Linked DNA regions of Ovis aries. Each later gene encodes a partner of the first gene's protein in a complex. Links are inferred from orthologs where the notes say so. Each region holds a gene or a part of one and is shown on either strand. Other genes may lie near its edges. The genes, in order: HEATR3 and RPF2.

Region 1 (7,319 bases):
ACGAAACATCAGAAATGACAGTTAACACCAGCCCATCAAGTTCTCACAAGTCACTGTACAAGCTGGATACAAAGCATTTCACATCTTAAGTGAAAATGTAAAATCAATACAAAATATTTAATTTAACGTAGTCAAGATAATATATAAGACAAAGAAAAATAACCCATAATAAAAGCTAGTATCTATACGGCATCTTCTAAGCATGAGGCACTATTCTAAGCATTTCATGTCGATTAAGTCATTTAATTGTCACCAGAGACCTATAATGCAGATGAACTATTATCCCCAATCTCCTGCTACAAATGGGAAACTGAGGTACAGAGAGCCTGCTGAGGGTGCAGCCTAGTATCTAGTGAAGCGGGATTCAGATCCAGGCATCCTGGCTCTGAAGTGGGTGCTCTGAATCCCTCTGCAGTTCTGCCCCCTCCTACAATCCATGACATCCTCTCAATCGGGCTTCTCCAACTTGGCACTGCTGACATTTTGAACGGGATGATTCTTTGCTGTGGTGCACGTGGGACACTTTGCTGTTGTGCCCAGTGTAGGATGCTTAGCGGCATCCTTGGCCTCTATGCACTAGCTGCCAGTAGCAACCCCTCCTCCAAAGCTGTGACAATCAAAAATGGCTCCAGACATTGCCAAATGTTCCCTGTGGGGAACATCACCCCTACGAGAATTACTGTTCTAAAGGGACAACAGGTCTTGTCCCTTTGATGATGATGTCTCTTATCAAACCTGGATATTCCTCCTACGGCCTCAAGTGAAAACTACCCATCAATACAGAACAGTGGACCAGAGGCATGACAGGGGGAGAATTCCTTAATCCCTGAACTGCATCTTGCAATAAAGGAGGCACATTAGAAAATTTGAAAACTTAATCTAGTCTTCTCAGCAAATTCTTAATGTCCATGCTTGAGCTTCCTCATCTGTAAAACAGGAATAACAAAGAATACCTGCCAAATAGGACTGCTTTGAGGATTCAGGAAAATAACACACAAGACACATAATTAAGCATCGAATAAATACAAATTAGTTTCATCCTATGAAGTTTGACGTCTAAAGGAGACAGTCTATACTTTTAGGAAGGTCTTTTCCAACAAGCAGATAAATAAAGGTAGCGGGGACAAACTAGAGACTAGTGTCAACGATGAGAGATCAGTGTTTCCAGGAAAAGAAACAATTCCTACAGAATGTTTTGAGGGAAGACAAAATGACACCAAAGTACTTAGAAATAAGACAAAACCCCAAACTGTTGGAGTGCGTGCACTAACAGAGATTTGGGAAAGTGGCATACCTCTTTCAGAAGGGCAACCAGTGGAGTCATGATATCCTTCGTCACCATGTCATCACAAACTTCGAAACCGCCACAAGCGCTGAGATTTCTACACAAGAAGTTTAAAACACACCCGCTTCAGATCACATGCCAAAAAACATGCTAAGCGCTCAAGTTTATTTCTATCTCTACCCATACTTAACATTTCCCGTTTGAAATTGCTTTACGATTTCTGTAAGACGCTGCAGAACCAATCCACAGAACTCCACCTGCTCTGATCCTTGCTCTACATGAACTAAACAGATGACTCTGTCTTGTAACAATGTAATTCTCAGGAATGAGGCAGCACCCAGCGAGAGGGAAGACTTCCTATTTAATGTAAATCAATTACTGCCTGATATTTATTTTTTTGGCCATGCCATGCTGCTTATGGAATCTTAGCTCCCTGACCAGGGACTGAACCTGCTCCTTCAGCAGTGAGAGCTTGGAGTCTTAACCACTGGACTGCTAGGGAATTCTCCTGCCTGATCTTGTATGAAGGGACCTTTTTCTGGAATCAAGACTTCAAGGATAGGAAGGGTGAGGCTATTGAGAATGACCTTCCCTGAAACAATTCTGACTACATTTAATTTTCATTGTGAAGACACTGTTTACCCTCCGAGTGCACAGCACTGTGCTAGGCACTCAGGCTATGAAGAGAAATGAGAAGATGTCTCACCATCTTCCAGGAGCTCCCAGTGTATGTTGTTTTCTCCATCAACTGGTTAATTCCCCCTCATCCCCCAGATCTCACTTCAAACATCATGCCCTTAGTTTTCTTCCCCAAACCCCTTCTCATAGCATCTTTTGTAAACATCATTGGTTGTAATTACACACTTACGTGATTATTTGCATAATGCTTGCCTCCCTCAATACTGTAAGATCCATTAAGGACTGAAATTATGTGTCTTGTTCACTCCCACTAGCCCACTGCCTGGCACTGCAGGCTCTCAATATAAACCTGCTACATTTAATGAATGAAACAGAACAAACACAGAGCTATGAGAACTACAAATATTAACATTACTCTGGCCCCCTCTACAGTCCATTCTCAGTGCAGCTACCAGCCCTTTTGAAAAGGTAAATTAGACTAGTCACTCTGGCTTAGAATAGGTCCTTAAGCTCTGCACCACTGAGTCCTTATCTGTCTCTCCAGCCGCAATCCCTATAATGTGCACCCTCTACTCTGCTCAGCCACATAACCTTCCCTTTCCTTAACCGTGCCAAGCCCTCTGCTGTTGCTACTCTCTGTCAGGAATGCTTTTCCCCTGTGTGTCCACCTCTGGTTCCAGGCTACCTCAGCTCTTAGCTCACAAATGTTATCTAGAGATTATCCAATTTAAAGTAACTCCCCACCTCCGGCTATCACCTTCTTGGTTTCTCCATACCACCTCTTAAAACCTAATATTATGTTTCATCTGGTTACTAGTTCCCTGTCTCTGCATCAACATGGTTCTGCGAAGGCGCAGATCCTGGCTGTCTTGCTCAGTATTCTGCTTTCTCAAAATCCCTCGCGTCTAGAAAATCTGGCACATACAATGGAAGAGTTCACCGAACCTCAGGACTCTATGAAGTCTCCTTGGGGAGGGTACAACGTGCGTTAATAAGCCTTGAGCAGAGGACGCTTGGCAGATGGTTACTGCAGTTGAAGCAGTCAGGCGGACAGATGGAATACGTGTAGTCCGGGGCTCATGAGGTCCTCCGGAATCCGAAGCCTGAGTTCAGATCCCTCCTCTGCAAACAGGAGAGCATAGCCAGTTCTTGGCCCTCCCGAACTGTGCCGCAGACAAGAGCACTCAGGATGAAACCCGTGAGCGACGGTACCAGGTGCACAGGAGGCGCTGGCTGGACGCCGATGCCCGGATCCGAGGGCACCAGCACAGATCCCCCTTCCCTGCTCACCTCAGTGCGCCGGCCGCCGTTTCCCTCACCGCCAGACTGGGATCGAGCAGCAGCGGCCCGAGGCGGCGCACGGCGTCCCGGCGAGCCAGGCCCGGGAGCACCGGCCGCTGCTGCACCAGCCGGGCCAGCCCCGCGCAGGCGCACTCGCGGACCTCGGCGCTCGGGTGCTGAAGCTGCGGGACAGAGCGAGTGGTCAGGGGGACAGCAGAGCGCACGCGCAGGGGCGCGGCGGCAGGGGCGCGCGGCACGGCTGGGGGCCTCTGCGCGCCGCCTGCTCCCCCGCCCGTCCCCGCGCGGCCCCGGCGAGCCCTCGCCTCACTTTTTCCAGCAGTTCCGCCGCTGGCCCGTCGTCCTCCTCTGGCTCCGTCCCGTTCGCCGCCGCCGCCTCGGCCTGACAGTCGCCCGTAGGCGAGAACTGAGGTCGCTTGAAGCGCTTCGTCCGGCTCTTGCCCATTGCGAAGTCCGCTGTGGTGGAGGTGGGGGGTGGGAAGACCGAGAGAGGAGGGGAACAGCAAGACGAGGCAGGAGGGTCTTGCAACCTAGGGGTTTACTTGCCACTGCTCAGCTGGGCCGGATGACGGCCCGCGCCCACATGGAGAAGCACTGCGCGTGCGCATAGCGAGTCTGCGGCGGGGGCGGGGTCAGCCGCGGGGAGCGCGCAGGCGTAGAGAGGATGGTGGGCGGGGCCAGGCCTTGCGGAGAGGCAGGTCCTGGGGACCTGCTCGGAAGAGGAAAGGCTAGGTTTGAACGATGATACTGTCTCCGCCTCTCCTCAGCTAGTGACGTCTATCAAGAAACTGAATCTGCCAAACCTTTACCTATTTCCATAATAATCGAGGGCGATTAAGGGTACCTAACTTGCCTAACCTTAGTGAGAGGCTTAAAAAAAAAATACCATGTAAAGCCCCTAACTCCAAACCTGATATGTATATTATCAGTTCAGCTCAGTCGCTCAGTCGTGTCCGACTCTGCGACCCCATGAATCATAGCACGCCAGGCCTCCCTGTCCATCACCAACTCCCGGAGTTCACTCAAACTCAGGTCCATCAAGTCGGTGATGCCATCCAGCCATCTCATCCTCTGTCTTCCCTTCTCCTCCTGCCCCTAACCCCTCCCAGCATCAGGGTCTTTTCCAATGAGTCAACTCTTCACATGAGGTGGCCAAAGTATTGGAGTTTCAGCTTTAGCATCAGTCCTTCCAATGAACACCCAGAACTGAGCTCCTTTAGTATGGACTGGTTGGATCTCCTTGCAGCCCAAGGAACTCTCAAGAGTGAGTAGGTGCTCAAAAATATTATCCTGTCCTATCCTTTGTGCTCAGCCCTGTCCAAATCTTTGCGACCCCACGGGCATGGAATTTTCCAGGCAAGAATACTGGAGTGTGTTGCCATTTCCTTCTCTAGAGGATCTTCCCTGATCCAGGGATCAAGCGCCCATGTCTGGCATCTCCTGCATTGGCAGGCGGTTTCTTTACCACTAGTGCCCCAAAATATTAACTATGATTTTATTCTGCGCCTAGTCCAGGTCCTGTCCTAGACAAGGTCCATATATTGGTCCATAAGATGGACTCCCTAAGAAGTTGCTTAATCTTCCTGCCTCAGTTTCCTCATCAGTGAAATAGGGATACTAATAATATATACCCAGTGGAGTTGTAGTGAGAAAAACTGTTCTAATGTTTGTAAGATACTAAGACAGAGACTGGCACAAAATAAGCATGATATAAATGTGTGGTTGAAACTTTCACTTAACAGAAGGATTCTTTCACAAATATTTACTGAGTACCAGGTGCAGTGTGGGGCATTGAGATAAAGCAATAACCAAGACAGATATGGACCCTACCCTTGTCCTTATGGAGTTGACAGTTTAGTGAGAGGTGATGAATAACTATTTCATTACAATTATGGTAAGTAGTAAGAAAGGAGAAAGGTATAGGAGAATCTTATGTACTCTTTATGTGTATATATTGAGCACCCAATAGATACATAGCTTGCAGGTCAACAATGTATGGGAGAAAAGATCCACTCCATGCAACCCTGCCCTCAAAGAGTTGACTTTCTAGTAAGGGAAATGATTAACTACTTTAGTATATTTTGGAAAATAATCATGAAGGTGTAACTAAAGTTGTACAGAAGCTCATGTCTATCAAAGACCAGCTTTAGGTATAAGGAAAAGTTGAAACCCCAGACATACATTGGCAACCTTAACTTCCTAGATCTCTTACCTGGTTACTGATCTGCATACCTCCCTGGTCCAGGCTATTGTCTGCTCTTGTCTTGACCCCATGGCCTTCTGGCCTTGTCTTTCCCAGTCTGCCCATCTATAGAGCAGCTGGAGTGATTTTTTTTTTCCAAACTGAATATCCTTCCAACTTTCTCATATGTATTCCTTTGCTTGAAACCTTTCAGTGGCTTCACTTTCTTTTAGGACAGGGATTAAAACCTTGGCTGGCTGCAGTGTCTCATTCCAGCCTCCAGCTTCATCTCGTCACCTCTTGCATCCAGTCCTTTAGCCATCCTCCAAAGGGCCAACCTCTCCCCTGCCTTAGAATTTTGGGCAAGCCCCAGATCTGACCCATGTCCTGGTGAATGCAAGAGTCGCTTCATAGGTTCCTCCTCTGATTTTGAAGTCTGAGATGGATCTCTCTTGAGATGACATTTATCTTGTCCCTTTGCTTCAAAGCACAGTTCAAAATTACAACTATACACAAGTAAATTTAAGTTACAAGTATGCCCATGCTCGGCCCAACCGCACACTAAACCTTGTGAGGATAAGACTGCCTGTTTTAACACACCACTGTCTTCTCAACACTGGCCAAAACCTGGCACAAAATAAGCATGCCATTTTTTTAAATGAATAGAGACCACCCTGATGCTGGGAGGGATTGGGGGCAGGAGGAGAGGGGATGACCCAAGATGAGATGGCTGGATGGCATCACCGACTTGATGGACATGAGTGTGAGTAAACTCTGGGAGTTGGTGATGGACAGGGAGGCCTGGCGTGCTGTGATTCATGGGGTCACAAAGCTCGGACATGACTGAGCGACTGAACTGAACTGAATCAAGAAAGAGTAGGGCAAGCAATCTAGACAGAATAGGGAGAGACAGATTCTTGCTATTTCTCCCACTGTAGGGATGAGTAAAAAAAAAAAAAAAGTTCAAAACCTTAAACCCAGGGAGAACTTTGGGATCTATTTCATTACTATTTCCTGTGAGAAATTAACATTTCTGCTAAAAAATGAATAATGAGCTATTTCATGAGAGTTGGACCATAAGGAAGGCTGAGCGCTGAAGAACTGATGCTTTTGAATTGTGGTGCTGGAGAAGACTCTTGAGAGTCCCTTGGACTGCAAGGAGATCAAGCCAATCCATCCTAAAGGAAATCAACTCTGAATATTCATTGGAAGGACTGATGTTGAAGCTCCAGTCCTTTGACCACCTGATGCAAAGAGGTAACTTGTTGGAAAAGACCGTGGTGCTGGGAAAGATTGAAGGCAGGAGGAGAAGGGGACTACAGAGGATGGGATGGTTAGATAGCATTGCCAGCTCAACAATGGACATGAATTTGAGCAAACTCCGGGAGACAGTGAAGGACGAAGCCTGGCATGCTGCTATCCATGGCGTCGCAAAGAGTCAGATATGACTTAGCGACTGAACAATAACAAAAAACTATTTAATGAACTTAGGAGCCCTTCCAGAACCCACATCAGTCTTAGAGGCAGTGCAACCTTTAACCAGTCTGCTGCTGCCGCTAAGTCACTTCAGTCATGGCCGACTCTGTGCGACCCCATAGACAGCAGCCCACCAGGATCCCCCGTCCCTGGGATTCTCCAGGCAAGAACACTGGAGTGGGTTGCCATTTCCTTCTCCAATGCATGAAAGTGAAAAGTGAAAGTGAAGTTGCTCCGTCGTGTCCGACCCTCAGCAACCCATGGACTACAGTCTTCCAGGCTCCTCAGTCCATGGGATTTTCCAGGCAAGAGTACTGGAGTGGGGTGCCATTGCCTTCTCCGTAACCAGTCTAATAATCCTTAAAGTGAAAGTGAAAGTTCCTCAGTCATGTCTGACTCTTTGTGACCCCATAGACTATACAGTCCGTGGATTCTCAA
Region 2 (6,801 bases), on another chromosome or scaffold:
AAAGTCAACTTTTTATTAAAATTCTAGAGCAAGAGATGTCAAATTATCTCCAAAAGGCCAGATAATAAATGTTTTAGACTTTTTATATACTTAAAAAAAAAAAAGTTTTAAAAATGTAAAAACCACCTTAGCTTGTGAGCCTCAGAGAAGCAGGGATTCAGCCCACAGGAAGTATATTCCCCAGCTCCTGTGCACAATTCCAAGACTGCAGTATAAGAAGTGTGCTACTGGGGGATGGGCAGTCAGGAGGAAATCAACCAAATTTCTAACATGACCACTGTTTCCACAACCATTTGGAGCTCTAGCAGTATGAAATTTATTACAGCCAATGAAATATCTCCTGTTTCTGGAAGTAGAAGATCAAAGAGGGTAAAAGCCATAATTTCAAGTGTAAGAAAAAATGTCCTATCAACATTAAATTGAAAAAAAAAATGCTACAGATTCTACAACATAATACTTCTACACAGTGACCACTCAACTAAAAGCACCATGGTATTACAAAATAAAACCAGCCCTGGATAAGTCATGTATAGAAGAGATAGAATTCTGGGCTAGACTCTATATACATTTTTACTTTCACGATCTATTCAACAAATGACTGTGAAAAATTCAAGACTGTGATAAAAGCAACTTAATTATAAAACAACATTTATTTTGAGAATACTTTTCTTAATATATTGTAATTTTCACTGCAGTTAGATGCCACATTAGGATAAGATGCTCAATTTCAGTTTTTTAAGTAATCATTGAGATTCTATTAAAAAAAACTTTTCCTATTAAATTCACTAACTAAAAGAACAAACTATGGGACTTCCCTGGCAGTTCAGGGGTTAAGACTCCGAACTTCCAAAACAGAGGGGGCGCAGTGGGTTCAGCCCCTGGTCAGGGAAACTAAGATTCCACGTGCCACGCAGCAAACAACCAAATGAGACGAGCAATGGTATTCCTGCCAAGAGAACATAGTCATGTTCTCATGGTTCGCAAAAAGTCAGGTCGTGCTCCCTGTTTTAAAAGTATTCGAAAAAAGAAAAGCAAACTTTTTAAAAATCAAATTTGCATTATAAAAACATCCATAACGAAAATCCTTTGGACAATCCATTAATTATCCACCTAAAGTATAATTAACTCTTTAAAATTCTATCAATATACATGCAGGCAATGAACACATACTATCCATAGTGAAGCATAAGATCTATAGTAATATTTTTGGAAATAAAAAAGTCTTATTCCCCCTTTATATTGCATCAAAATTTTGTAACACAGGATGATTTCTAATTCAAAGTCATAAGTTAGGACTACAATTAAATTAAATGAATTAGGGTGAATAATCACTTGTATGCCCTCTTAAATCAGAGATTCTTATACTTACCAATGATGTCTGATCCTCAAATGGCCTTGTAATGTTTTTCCTAATGTTTTAAAAAAAAGTGACTGTAATTTTAATAAGCAATTCACTCATAACAATAAGGTAATAATATTAAATAAAGATAATTATATATTCAAATGATCAAAAAAAGAAGCTGGAAGATATTTATTCATTCAAATATTTATTTAGTGCCAAGCACTGTTCTAGGAGCTAGGGATACCATAATACCATGTCAAACATGATCCTTACTTTCATGGAAGTTACATTCTAGAGGAAAAGTAAACAATTTCAAAAAGTTCTAAGTGTTGTGACAAAAATAAAGCAGGGCACCGTGTTAGTATGAAGAATGGAAAACGATTATTTGAGCTGAGACCCAACAAATGAGGAGTTAGCCATGGAAGAGTTTTGAGGTTAAGAGTACTCTAGGAAGAGGGAACCAAGTAAGAAAAGGTTCCGAGATGGAAACAAGTGTAGACTATTCAAGAAACAGAAAGCAACAAACATCACTGGAACTTAATGAGCAAAGAGTTAATGGTGGGATATGAGGTCAAAGATGAAGACATGGTCCAGAAAGTGTGGGGCCTTGCTGGTTCAGGTAAGGAATGAAGGTTATTAAAAGAGTAACAGGAAGCACAGGGGGATTTTAGACAAGAGTGATATGACGGGATTCAAATGTTCTTTTTAAAGGGCTGATCTGCCTACTATGTGAGGAGGGAATGTAGCACAGCAAGAGTGAAGAGGTCGGTAAGCAGCTATCACAGTAATCCAGGAGAGAAAGAAAGTGGGGGGCTGGGCCAGCAGTGCTAGCAGTGGACATGGACAGTGGATAGAGAAATGTAGAATGCTATCTTCCCACGCAAAAGGTTTGTTCAAATATGCATGAAGAAATTCTGCTAAGATACACAAAAAACTAATGATTCTGGTTGTTCTAAGGAGAGTGTGTGCATATTTATATTTTCACTGTATATTTTTGAATTTTTAGTCACATAAATATAATACAGTTCATAATTTTTACCAACTTAGAAAAAAATCATATATACAACATGATCTCAATTTTGTTTAAAGAAAAAAAAAGATGTATAGACACAAAACTACATGAGGAGAAAATATACACAGTGTTTATCTATGAGTGATTATTTACTCTTATCCCAATTATTTAAGATAATATATATTACTTTTATAATCAATAAAAAATTATTTAGAAAAATCATGCAAAAGGAAAAATTACTGCAGCATTTATGATTAACAGCCAAAAGCAATTCACAAGTAAATAGAAGACAGAAATTACAAAGAAGAAAAGGAGAAAGGCTCAAATGAAGTCTCTGGTATTGGAGTAGAACTGAAATTTGTAGTACGAACCCATGAATTTTTAGGAAATATCAATATCAACTCAGGGCTTTTAAAATATATAGATAAATATAAACAAATACAGACGTGCATACATGCATAGGTTAATGTACCTATGTACATTTTCAAGCTCTTGTCTGCTAGAGGACTGATGACACTCCAGTAGCAACTGACCATACTTAATGCCCAGATCTCTGTTTCTAAGTTATCTTTCTCCAATATATGGAACCAGGACTGATTCCAGGGCTCTGGCAATGAAAGCTGCAAGATGAGCCTAGAGCATCTTGTGATGCCAGAAAGGAAGTGCTCAAACACAGGGGCACTTTGAAAGGGCACACAAGCCAACCTGACAGAGATTCCAATGGCCAAAGAGAACAATTTAGCAACAAAATAAATCATGACAGCACTGAACCCCAAAGAACGTAATAAATATATAGTCCACACCGACATAAATAAGTGATTTAAACAAATGGAGAAGGAGGGACTGATTTTCATCACAGAATCCCAATTAATAAATGCAGAGGGAATGCAGGGAAACAGAAAACCACTGCACCACCACAGAGATCACCACTGTAGACAGGGTTCACTGGTGGATGCTAAAATGAATGCGCAGAAGTTTGTGGAGAACTAGGATTACTTGAAAACTTGTAAGTATCTCCTCTAAACATCTGTTAATTACAAAGGGGAAAATATCAACAGCAACTTTATAGTGGGGAAATCTAGCAGACACCACTTTAATCAAATTTAACACCACCAGTAAGAAGATATCAAATATTCCTCGGTAAGATATACTGAAAAGGCACATCACTTTTATGATATTACTGCCAAAAATGTACAATCTCAATCTATTCATAATATAAGACAAGTCCAAACTGAAGGATATTTTACAAAATAACTGACAAGTGCTCATCAAAAGTGTCAAGGTCATCAAAGATGAGGAAAGGTTGAGGAATTGTCATAAATTGGAGGAGACTAAGAAGACATGACAATTAAACACAATGTGGGATCCTAGAAGAGGAAAAGAATATTAATGAAAAGACTGGCATGAACCAAATCAAGCCTGTGATTAAAAAGTAAGTGTGTATAAATTACTGTCCCCATGTTCATTTCTTACTTGTGATAACTGTGCTTACAGAAGTTATAACATTAAGAGATGTGGGAGAAGGGTATAAGGGAACTAGTATTTTTGCAACTTTTCTGTAAGTCCATTACTATTTCAAAGAAATACATACATGCTATGATCACAACTCTGTAAGAATGTTCAGTACAAATGAATACACAAATGGGAAAGAAGTAAGTTTTGAAATACGCATAGCTATGTATGTAAGGCAATGTAATATTTTTTAAATAAAATATTTTTCTAAGTCTCCCATAAAGTGATTGGTTGTTACTTTTATAATGAAACAATATAATTAAATAAGTAAAAGAAATCATACTTACTTTTTATACAGAATGCCATACGGTTTCTTCAGTGCATACTGTAAAACATAATTTATAGCTTTCAAAACAAAACATATTCTGAAAAGCAGAGATAAAAGTGAAGCACTGTAACAGTCATTATGCAAGGTTATCCTAGCTCCTGAATCCTATTCTGATATCTTCTGCATGGCTCCCCTTTGATCACATATAACTTCCAACACAAGCTTAATATTCTGACACAGGACTTTCCTAATTAAAAATTTCTATGCCCTTTCAATATTCTATCCAATTTAAATGATTCCCTTCACTTCCTTAAATTCTAGCTTCATTTAGCCTGCTTTCCTTTAACCACCCCCAATTATTTGCAATTCCCCAAATGTATCATGCTCCTTCACACTCCCTTTGTGCACAAGCTTTTGCCTCAGCCTTGGAAGCCCTTCTCTTCCTCTTCCTTTTCCTCTTCTCATTTCAACTCCTTCAAAATGAAGCTTAATTGTCACCTCTAGGAAGCCCACCCTGTGTGGCAACCCTCATGGGATTTTAACTCAGCCTCCCATCCTACTCCATGACAGAGGACGAGACAGTTGGATGGCATCACCGACTCGATGGACAGTGAGTTAAGAGTAAGCTCCAGGAGTTGGTGATGGACAAGGAAGCCTGGTGTGCTGCAGTCCACGGGATCTCAAAGAGTCGCTCAAAGACTGAGCAACTGAACTGACTATCTGACCGACTCCCATCCTACTCCGTGCATACCTCCAGCACAGCACATCACTCACAATGCTCTAACTCTTACTCTCTCACTAAGCTCACTGAAGGGAGAGATTATGTCTTATATAAATATTAATCCCCAGCATCCAGTACAGTAGTTGGTACTGTTGAAAAAAATAAAGGGATATAATATGCAGTTAGCTCATTTTACAAATTAGATATGTTCTTGAAATGTGACAAAATCAAATTCCAATCATTGAAATCAGGTGAAATTTACTAAGGGAGCTGGAAGGAAAACCAGCAGTCAGTTCCTTGGCAAAGCAAACAATCTCCAACTTTAGGCTTTTTCTAAGGTTAGCATTTCTTAAGGCAAGGCAAAGGCAAAGGTTAGTATACTAAAAACTTTCTAAAATGATTTCAACACCATTTAAAAAGTGTGTATATATATAAATATACGTACCACATCTCTAAGCACTTGTGTTACTGTTGAATTTGCATTTCCCCCTTTAATCAACATAGCATTTTTTATATTTTCACTGAGTTTTGGTTCTCTCTTCTCAAGGAATCTCTTGGCTCTTTTTGTTTTGGGTTTTCTGTTGCAAAAAATCACAATTTATAACAACTTAAGACATTTTCCTCATATCACAAAACCAAGACTTACATACAAATTCTTAAATATCAAAGAGATATTACATAACATTTATTAGTTAGGATTCCACAAAATCTCATTTTGGGGGAAATATTAATAAAATATATTCAGTTATTACTAGTAAATGCAGTAATTACATTTGGTATTTAAAAAGACTTCCATTTTTATATTCCCAGCATTCTATTACTGTTTTCTAAATCTTTTGTTAAAAAAACAAGGACTCAAGTGAATACTGTTGCTATTTTTACCCTATTATTTTTTCTTTAATCTTAAAGCAATCAAACCAGTACTCTGCACCTGAACACAATGAACCAACTGCCAGTCAACTTGTGGGCATAGGGAGGCTAATTACTTCTTATCTTTCCTCCAGGTATAAGACCACAATGCCTGCCAGGAAGTATCCAATGTCCCACTCCAATATCATTGCTGATAAAGTCAAATACTGTTGCCACCAACTGAGAATAATAACAACTGACACTTCATTACAGTTAGTCTATTAAGGCCTAATCTTTTACAGATGAGTCAGCTGACATAATCTGTCCAAAGCCACACAGCTTGGCATGTAGGCCAGTCTTCAAAATGAGCTACATTTTGCATCCTGCAAAACATGAAAGGAAAACAGGGGCTTCCCTGGTGGCTCAGAGGTAAAGAATCTGCCTGCAATGCAGGAGACCCAGGTTCGATCCCTGATCCGGGCAGATCCCACATGCTGCAGAGAAACTAAGCCTGGGCACCACAACTGTTGAGCCCAGGAACTGCAGCTACTGAAGTTCCTGTGCCCTAGAGCCTGTACTCCGCAACAAGAGAAACCAATACAATGAGGTACCGGAGCTCCACAAGGAGACAGCAGCCCTCACAGCAACAAACACCTAGCACAGCCAAATACATATACATACACATACACACTTATACTATATATGGGAAACAAATTCATTATTCTGATTGTATTCTGTCACATGGAGTAGAAGGCTTTTATACACTGCCTTGTTCACCTCCACTTACACTACAGTGAGATTCTTGATTTCCCATCTGCCACCTACAGAAATAATTTTTCTCTTAAATAACTATGATCCTGCCTTCTTCCGGTTCCATGTACACTTCGGGATGGAAAAGAAAAACAATACACACACACATACCGTACCATACAGACTTTAAAAAACTCTCCTCCCGATAAAATATCAAGCACATATACAGCTTCTAATCATTTACTGGTTGATAAAGATACACATTATTTTCAAACCAAGAGAGATTTAGTGCATCCATAACCCAATAAAAGTGCTGTATGTTGCATATTCCGCTGTATGTTGCGGAC

The links.
Region 2: HEATR3 (region 1) and RPF2 share a complex: the UniProt entries of both Homo sapiens proteins name them as parts of the hexameric 5S RNP precursor complex. The link is inferred for Ovis aries from reciprocal best matches to the Homo sapiens genes HEATR3 and RPF2.

The regions. Positions count from the first base shown.
Region 1 is NC_056067.1:18,012,504-18,019,822, reverse strand, and holds the start of HEATR3 (HEAT repeat-containing protein 3), read right to left. Parts: upstream 3,822-7,319; 5' UTR 3,669-3,821; coding exon 3,534-3,668; intron 3,388-3,533; coding exon 3,215-3,387; intron 3,029-3,214; exon of another isoform or gene 2,870-3,028; intron 1,383-2,869; coding exon 1,295-1,382; intron 1-1,294. UniProt on the Homo sapiens protein: Plays a role in ribosome biogenesis and in nuclear import of the 60S ribosomal protein L5/large ribosomal subunit protein uL18 (RPL5). Required for proper erythrocyte maturation.
Region 2 is NC_056061.1:26,670,710-26,677,510, forward strand, and holds part of RPF2 (ribosome production factor 2 homolog), read right to left. Parts: intron 5,434-6,801; coding exon 5,301-5,433; intron 4,192-5,300; coding exon 4,154-4,191; intron 1,410-4,153; coding exon 1,370-1,409; intron 1-1,369. UniProt on the Homo sapiens protein: Involved in ribosomal large subunit assembly. May regulate the localization of the 5S RNP/5S ribonucleoprotein particle to the nucleolus.